Oryctolagus cuniculus: one gene and its partner. The protein of the gene in region 1 purifies or fractionates together with the protein of each later gene. This does not show direct contact. Links are inferred from orthologs where the notes say so. Each region holds a gene or a part of one and is shown on either strand. Other genes may lie near its edges.

Region 1 (4,414 bases):
CCAGGTGCGTTAGCAAGAAGCTGGGTCAGAAACACAGAGAACCCAGGACCAAACCAGGTGTCCCAAGTAGCAGCTTAGCCTGTGGGCACAACACCCACCTCCTGGTTAGGAGCCTCAGTGAGTTTCTCTCAATGAGAGAGGGGCAGATGTGCAGGGGGTTAAGCTGCCACTTGGGATGCCCATATCTCATAGCCAAGTGCCTAGGGTCAAGTCCTGCCTGTGCTCTAGCTTCCTGCTAATGTAATAGCTCAGATACTTAGGTCCCTGCCACTCCCTGGGAGACCCAAGAGGAGTTTCTGGTTTCTGGTTTCAGCCTGGCCCAAATGTGGGCATTTGGTGAGTGAACCAGTGAGTGGGAGTGTGCTTGCTTTCTTGTCTTGCAAATAATAAGTAAACTTAAATTGTGTCTGAAGCTAACAAAGAATACAGTTTTTCTAAAATTATTTTTTATAGCTTTTTAATGCTGTTGTCTGCTTTTTTCTCCTGTGTAGATGTTCATCCTGGACAAGGTTGATGGTGATACTTGTTCCCTTAATGAGTTCACCATAACTGGATCAACGTACGCACCTATTGGAGAAGTGTAAGTAACTTTCTGTATCGTTTATAGAATTCAGTGTGGCACTTGAGTATTTGGAGAGATTTGTAGTATACCTGGAAAGTTCAGACAGCTTTCTAAATATGGCTGAGGTCAACACAGCTAGAAATAAGCCCAATGTGCTGTAATAATGTTTCTTCTTTTGACAGGCATAAAGATGATAAACCAGTGAAGTGTCATCAGTATGATGGTCTTGTAGAATTAGCAACAATTTGTGCTCTTTGTAATGACTCTGCTTTGGATTACAATGAGGTGAGATGCTTTGAAACTTAAACTTAGCTGTTGTTCAGATGCAGGGTGGGTGGCATGAAAACCCAGCCTGCCTTCATCCCTTTTGAAAGTGAGGGTTCCGTCTTTGAAAGGTGGAGTTAGAGAGAAGTCTTCCATCTACTGGTTTACTCTTCAAATAGCTGCAATGGCCAGAGCTGCACCGGTTCAAAGCCAGGAGCTTCTTCCAGGTCTCCCACGCAGGTGCAGGGGCCCAAGAACTTGGGCCATCTTTGCTTTCCCAGGCCATAGCAAGAGCTGGATGGAAAGTAGAGCAACCAGGACTCAAACCGGCTCCCGTATGGGGTCCCAGCACTGCAGGCAGCAGCTTTACCTGCTGTACCACAGCGCTGGCCCCAAGGGTTCCTTCTTAATGAAGAATGAGATGGGAGAGGGAATGGGAGGTGGGTGTGGGGGGAAGAAGAGCTATATTCCTAAAGCTGTAGCTATGAAATTTGATTCATAAAATAAAAGCTTTCTTAAAAAAAAATAAAGTGAGGATTCCTGATTTTTTCCCTTTCCACCCAGAGGCCTGCCTCTCTAGGGCCAGCATGGCCCAGCCAAAAAGGCCAGGAGCCTTTCATAGATCCCGTGACAGCGTTGCAGAATTGCAGTCTGCATGCCTGATAGTATGGTTACTGTGTGTAAATGAAACTCAGGATAGAAGATGTTTTTCTGAAGGTTTTGGTCTTGCTTTTTGAGATGGGATAGCATTATACCCTGGAGAACAAGCTGAGGCTAGATGGCGGTTATAAAATGATAATATAAAATATAATCAACAGGAAACCTTTTTTTCCTCTTTTTAATTAAATAGTGGAGTGAATCCTTTGGTTTCTATTGCAGAGGCTCAGAATGATAAACAGTGACATGGAATTAATTATAAGTACTATTTGAAAGCTCTTTGAATTAATAGAAACTGTGGTTAGTGGCTTCTTATATTTGTGGGAATTGAAAAAGCGAATTATTAGAATAAGATAACAAGCATGCCTGTACTTTGAGTAATCCGGTCAAGAGTGCAATAAAATTGACCCCTAGAATCTTGAAGCAATGGAGGAAAGGTGGTTCTGTGGGGGAATTGCTAAAGAGAAATTTACCTGTGTACTTCTTTTCTCCTTTTCCATTGTGTATACCTTTAACTAACACAGGCCAAAGGTGTGTATGAAAAGGTTGGAGAAGCTACAGAGACTGCCCTGACGTGCCTGGTGGAGAAGATGAACGTGTTTGACACTGAATTGAAGGGTCTCTCTAAAATAGAGCGCGCGAATGCCTGCAACTCGGTCAGTGTTTGAGCTTGATGCATGTATTGTTGTATTGCCCCGAACTCATACCATACTGCTGTATACTTAGTCTGGTCATTCCCCTCTCCTGGACATCTACTTGTACCTTATCTCCTCCAGTTTATTGCAATACCTCCTTCCCCACATTCCCTCTCTTATAGAGCAAACTTGCTATGTATTTGGCCAAGACAATAAAAGCAGTCCGTAGATACTTTGCCCAGGCCAGCACCTCTGCCCGCATGGCTGCCTCTCCCATGGTGCTCTCCTTCCCAGCGTCACCTGTGCTGCACCTTGTCAGCATGGGGAGGCACAGTGCGTGTGTGTCCTTCGGTGTTGTTTCCTTTCAGCACCCCACATTTGTAAATACTGACTTCTTGGAAGTCTCTGTGTGTGTGTGTGTTATTCTCCTTCACTCCCTGTTGTCTTGAATCTACTCCAGTCAAGTTCCTGCTTCTACTAGTCCATGAAAACCTACTGCCCGGAGTCGCTTACGGCTTTGTGCTAAATTATGATCAAATCATTTGTGTATAAGAGTGGGAAAATGGAATGAAAAATATGAGTATTTTGAGGCAAAAAAATTTGTTGTAACGTGAAAAATACATGCTATGAAAATAGTATACATGGATGTCAAACATTCATATGTAATTCCACTTTTCATGAAGTTTTTTGTAAAAAGATTTATTTATTTGAGAGGTAGAGTTAGAGAGGCAGACAACAGAGAGAAAAGCCTTCCATCCATTGATTCACTCCCCAAATGGCCACAACAGCTGGAGCTGGGCCAATCCAAAGCCAGGAGCAATTCTTCCAGGTCTCCCACACGTTTGCAGGGGCCCAAACACTTGGGCCATCTTCTACTTCTTTCCCAGACTATAGCAGAGAGCTGTATCGGAAGAGGAGCAGCTGGGATACAAACCAGTGCCTGTATGGGCTGCTGGTGCTGCAGGCAGAGGCTTAGCCCACCATGCCACAGCTCTTGCCCCTTCATGAAGTTGTTCAAGTACCTTCAAAGGAACATAATAGCACATACAAGATTTATTTACTTGAAAGATAGTAACAGAAACAGAGGGAGAGACTCTGTTCACTGGTTCGCTCTCCAAATGGCAACAAAGACTAGAGCTGGCCCAGGCCAGAGCCAGGAGCCAGGAACTTCATCTAGGTTTCCTATATGGATTGCAGGGGCCCGAGCACTTGGACTGTCTTTAGCTGCTTTCCCGGGTACATTAATAGGGCTGAGGGGCTGGCACTGTGGTGGAGTGGGTAAAGCCACCGCCTGCAGTGCTGGCATCCCACATGAGCACCATTTTAAGTCCTTACTGCTGCACTTCTGATCCACCTCCCTGCTGCTGCACCTAGGAAAGCAGCAGCAGCAGGTGACCCGAGTGCTGGGCCCCTGAACTCTCCTGGGAGACCTGGAAAGAAGCTCCTGAATGCGGACCGGCCCAGCTCCAGTCATTGTGGCCATTTGGGGAATGAACCAGTGGGTGGGAAATCTCTCTGTGTGTCTCTCTTGCTCTGTCTCTATAATTCTGCCTTTCAAATAAATAAATATTTTAAAATTAGATTAGAATAAAAGGGGGGGGCAGTTGGGGGGGCTGAATGGGCAGTGGAGCAGCCAAGACTCAAACCTGCACTGATGGGATGCTGGCGTTGCAGGTGGTGGAGTAACCCACTGCACGTCGTCAGCTGCTGCAGTTTTTTTGGCCTTGGTTTTTTACGATTCATTTATTCGAAAGGCAGATGGAGAGAGTGGGGCGGGGAAAGCTCTTCCATCCATTGGCTCTCCCTTTATTTAACCCACAACAGCCAGAGCTGGGTCAGACCAAAGCAAGGAGCAAGAAGTTCCATCTGGGGCTCTCACGTGGGTGGCAGGGACCCAGACACTTGGGCCGCCATCTGCTGCCTCACATGTTCATTACCCGGAAGCTGGGACTCAAACTAGTACTGCAGTATGAATGCAGGCAACCCACGGCACCATTACACTGACCCCAGGATTGTAAATTTTAGTGCTTAAAACAGTTTCTTAATTCTATCTGTTAACCCTAGCAAGGCTGAACTTGAGTGAAAGCAGCCTGAAACAGATGCCAGCAGACACCGGCTGTGTGGTCAGCCTACAGCACCGGATGATCTCAGCAGCATCCTGGTCACCTGCTGACCCTCTGCTCAGCTTAAGAACTGCAGCTGGTTGCACCAAAGGGTAAACTCTGATGTCCTAGCCGGAGTCCTGAGGCTGCTTGGGTAGGAAGCTGTGTGCAGGCGAGAGGTCAACAATCCGCAA
Region 2 (4,978 bases), on another chromosome or scaffold:
TCCTCTTGATTCCTAAATGACCCCCATAGTGAAATGCTGGTAAAGCTCTGCCTGGAGGAGGGTTCTCTAAACAATAGCACAGGGATTTTCTCTCTGCAGTTGGCGTTTTACTTTTGATATTTTCTATGTAGGTTTTTCTTTTGTTATTTTAAATAGTAAAATGATTTAGAAACTAATTTGCAATTAAAATGCGATTTTCAGCCTTGTAGGAGTTGAGACTTCAGATTTTTACTTATTTTTTGAAGAGAATATCATCTTGGCATGTTAGGGAAGTCTTAAGGAAAAATGAATGCCACGTAATAAGTACACCCTTGTTAATGTGAGTGAATTGATCAGCTTTTTTTTTTTTTTTTAAATTTGAAAACCCTGAAGACGGAGTACCTTTAGAAAACACTAGAGGGCCTCAGAGGACTGTAAGTGTACTGGGGTGGCACTGTATTTGTAATACATGCAGGGTTTAAAGACATTGATGTACTGTTTCTGGAAATATTCAGAGAGACCACTCATTTAATTTATAAGTTTATTGCTTTATTTACTTTATTTCCAAACTCTATATTTGTTCCTTTGCCAGTATGATCAGCCCAGGAAACTTTAATTTGACTGGTTGTGGTATATTGCTTAATAATTAAGGATATCTTTCTTATAGTCCCTGGTTTTGAAAATGATCCATAGAATATCATTTAGGCTATTAGGAATATAATGCCTGGTATACAACTTAACTGTAAATTAAATGGAATTGTTTTAAATGAATAGAAGAAGTTGGATTCTCTAAATTTGTCTTGTAGAATGGCAAAGTATTAATTCTTTCAGTCTATTTTGCTCTGTTAATGTCATTGTTTATTTTTAAGCCAAGTTGATCAGTGGTATAGGATGTGCATGTGGTTCAGAGTCATAGAGCTAAGTGCCTGCCAAAGGCCCTGTATTGCCTAGCTCCATGACGTTGGGCAGTTTGCATTTTGGCCTAAATTCTGAAACAGAGATACAATATCAGACATACAAAGAATTCAGAGGAACAAATGAAATATTTATGTATACTAGTGCATTTAGAAAATTACTCTTCAGAACAAAAAAAAAAGACAACTGACTCTATTCATTTCTAGGACTGGTAATAACTATATAGTCTAATTTAGAGGTGATTTACACCATAAATTTAGGTTTTCAGTTAAACTTTTAGTGTGTTGCATGTAGTTATTACTTTATATAATACATTTAAAGTAAGTTTTTTACTTTATTTTTGCAAATATTCTCCTACCTCTAATTAGTGAGATTAAAAAAAATTAATATACATCCCAAATGGGTTTTCTTTTTATCTACTAAAATCTAATTTTTTTTAACTTTTATTTAATGAATATAAATTTCCAAAGTACGGCTTATGGATTACAATGGCTTCCCCCCCATAACGTCCCTCCCACCCACAACCCTCCCCTCTCCCACTCCCTCTCCCCTTCCTTTCACATCAAGATTCATTTTCGTAAAATCTAATTTTGATGTTTCATGTTTTAGGAAATGATATTGATGTGACTCCTGCAAGTACTCTGTAGTTCTTTTACATGCTTTTGAAACCTAGGGCTTTTTTTTTTTTTTTTTTTAGTAGTTTATGCTTCTTTCATATTTCTCCATCTTATGTAACACTAGTTTTAAACCATAAGTCTTTATAAACATACAATACTTAAAAGTATTATCTTAAAGTAGAGAGGAACTAGATGGGGCATAATATATGGCTCATTGGTAGGCATTATGTTTTAAATTTGAACAGCAGTCACTTTAGCAATGTAATTTCTGTTAACCTGAGCACACTGGTTACCTAAGGATAATCTTAATAGAATTTCTGCTCTTTCTAGGTGTTTGTTTTTGGAATAATATGTGATGTAGTAAAATTTGGATACAATGGAAGAATTCTTGAATACCCTGTTTAAAGTATTAGAATGTAATTTGATAGATATTTGAGTAAAAATGCAGAGATATGTATATGAAACCACCTCACAGAGTGACTTACATAAGAACAAAGGAAAAACATTTTGTAAATACAAAGATACTGAAAAAAATTAGGGTTACTTAGTGGTAGACAAAATTAAAAATGTTTAAGGAATACTGCTTATGGAATTATAACGTTCCTGCTTGTTCTGAAAACAGTACAGTTTACACTGTTACAAGAATTGAAAATTCTAAGATAAATTTTTTTAATGTATATAATACAAAAATAAAGTGAAATAAATATCATCTTATTTATGCCCTGATAGAACTTTAAGAATAAGGAAGCATTTCATCTAATAAATTGAGATTTTAACAGAGAATATGGTAGCATTCAAACAGAAGTCAAGTATATTGTACTGTCTCAATTCTTGGACATTTCTTTCTTTTTGTCATTTTCGTGCTAAGCTCAAAAGAGAAAAAACTAAGGAACACTAGAGGACAATAAATTAACAAGTGTATTCATTAGTAGGCAGAATAATCACTCATGTAATCAAATTTGCTTCAGTGAGATATTTAGAATGTGAGTGCTAAAATAATCTCTATTTTGAAAGTATTGAAACTTTCTGTACCTTTACAAGGACTTTTATATTTTTGTGTTAAATGTTTTAAAATTTTCAAATTTGTTCTTTATGATATTGTATTGAATTTAATAAAAGAAACTTCATTCATTAAAAACATGGGATTTTTGGAAGTGTTTGTTAAAAGTTGCCTAGACTTTGCCCATTTCTTGATTCTGTTCTCTTTATATTAATATTACATTAACATGAAAATTGTTCTGTAGTAATTATCCATGTATTTGCTAGAACCTCAGAATCTAATGTATTAGTAAATACCTTAAAATTAAAATTAAAGTTGACTGAGTTTTATGGAGAGGAAAAATCTTTAAGAACATTTCTAAATATGATATATTAAACTCTATTTAGTTAAGTAAGGGATCATAATGACAATACTGAATAAGCCTGCTGATAATGTGCATGTTGTAGTCACACAACTATGCGTACTATTACAGATGCAAATATATAGCCTACTCCTGCACTATATTTCAGTAGAGTAAGATACAATACAGTTATGCCATTGTTCTGTGTGAAGTTATGCTATCACCACCACTAAATATGATAATACAATTGTAAGATTTTTAAATTGGCAGAAATTTAAATTTGAACAGTAAAATAAAAGTGAAAGTTAAACGACAATACCAATTCAGGGCTAAAGATGAATATGATTCTTTAAATTTTAAAACTAAATCTTATTTTTTACTGTCACTATATAGATAAACATTTGTTTAGATATTAAGCATTTTGCCACTTCAAACATTTCACTAACTTTGAACTGAGATTTAAAAACTATGATTAATTTTTTAAGAACTCAGTGAGTTTGAATTTCAGAAAGTATGAATGACCAAAACCAGTGAAATCCATTTCTTACCTTGGCTGCTGTGATCACCACAGTACAGAATATCAAGTAGTGTGAGGTCTTAATGGGCTTGTAGCTGGGAAGTGTTCTGACTCTGTTACCAGGTTTATGGGAATAGTTGCAGTAGGTGGAGGAGAAAAAGTATTCTAGGGAGGTCTTATGATGTCACACAGGAATTCTGAAGTTCTGATTGGTTAACCATAGTCTTACCACAGCCAAACTTTAGAACTTCATTTATCTTTAGGTATGGAAAGGTCACTAACACTTTGTGCTTCGATTTTTGCTTTTAATTTAAAAAATATGGCAGATAAATAAAATAAGTTTGGGTGGTAGAAAGCTCAAGATTTATTCACTTTCAGGTTTAGAGATAATCGTATTTTGATGGTGATGATATTGAAGACAGAAAATAGTTGTAATAGGAATTTTAATAGAATGAGAGTAACATAGGCTTAGATGCAACAACTTTCATTGAGTTGTTGCTACTATTGCTTTAATACCGTATCTTCATAATGTTAAGTTCAAGTAAGGCAATGGGTTATCATTTTCACGGAATTAAATTTTATACTTTTCCTGTTTTAATTTTTTTCTTAGTCCTGTGTATTTTTGAGAGGGATAGTGTCTGAGAAAACCACTCTAATAACTAGTTATATTTTTTTAAAATCAACCTTATAGTGGAAGTAGGAACTAATAAATGTGTTTAACTCACTTGTGTTTTCTTCACTTTGAGGTTTAATAATGTACTTATCAATAATAATTCTCATGTAAATTGCTATATCACCCCAAGAAAAATAGCGATTTGCAAATACAGGGAATTAAGATTATTTAACAGCTGCATTAGATTACCTTAAAGTCTTACTAAATGTTTAATACTCGGACACAGTATCAAGGTAATTTTCTAGCAAAAAAAGGAGTATTTGTAGATTCCTAATCAGTTGCATCCGAGTTAATGAAGCTTTATTTGGGTGGATTTACATTTGTTAAAATTTAAATTGTGTAGTTTTTCTTCAAGAATGCACTTCATCTAATGTAGCACTTGCTTTCCTGAAAATTACTGTATGAGAGTACATCAAAAAGTTCATGGAAAATTGAATTAAAAGGTATTTTCTTGGGTGCAAAAAAAAAAAAACAAACCTTGAAATCCTTGCCTAATTTTTCATAGTAAGCATTTTTCATTAACTCTTTGAAGACTCCCTCATGTGCATGGATTTAAAAGAACTTTTGCACCAAAAAAAAAAAAAAAAACCCTACCTTTAATTCCAATTTCCATAATTTTTTTGCAGTACCGTCATAAATAAAATTTTTAGAAGTGGAATAATATTTTTGAGCTTCTTAGAACAGTTTATCTTACCGGAAACTGGGAAAAGAATCCTTTTGAAAAGAGAGTTTGTAGTTCTCCTATTCTCTGTTTGTCTATTTTTTTTGTTTGTTTATATAAGATTTCCTTAAATTGCGCACCTGCAAATTCTGATTCTTAATGCTCTTCTTTACTTTTAGAGGAACTATTTTTAATTTTCTTATTTTTTTTCTTTTTAATATTTACAGTGTAGTGAACTCAGCCCGCTTCACTTTCTTACGGGTAACCGAAATGTGT

Evidence for each region. Proteins that work in one complex are often made in the same cells at the same time.
Region 2: the proteins of ATP2A2 (region 1) and PLN purify together in Homo sapiens (affinity purification with western blotting; 4 studies listed by BioGRID). This does not show direct contact. The link is inferred for Oryctolagus cuniculus from reciprocal best matches to the Homo sapiens genes ATP2A2 and PLN.

Annotation. Positions count from the first base shown.
Region 1 is NC_091452.1:8,025,171-8,029,584, forward strand, and holds part of ATP2A2 (sarcoplasmic/endoplasmic reticulum calcium ATPase 2), read left to right. Parts: intron 1-491; coding exon 492-580; intron 581-744; coding exon 745-847; intron 848-2,007; coding exon 2,008-2,139; intron 2,140-4,414.
Region 2 is NC_091436.1:51,760,564-51,765,541, forward strand, and holds the start of PLN (cardiac phospholamban), read right to left. Parts: upstream 3,491-4,978; 5' UTR 3,400-3,490; intron 1-3,399. UniProt on the Homo sapiens protein: Reversibly inhibits the activity of ATP2A2/SERCA2 in cardiac sarcoplasmic reticulum by decreasing the apparent affinity of the ATPase for Ca(2+).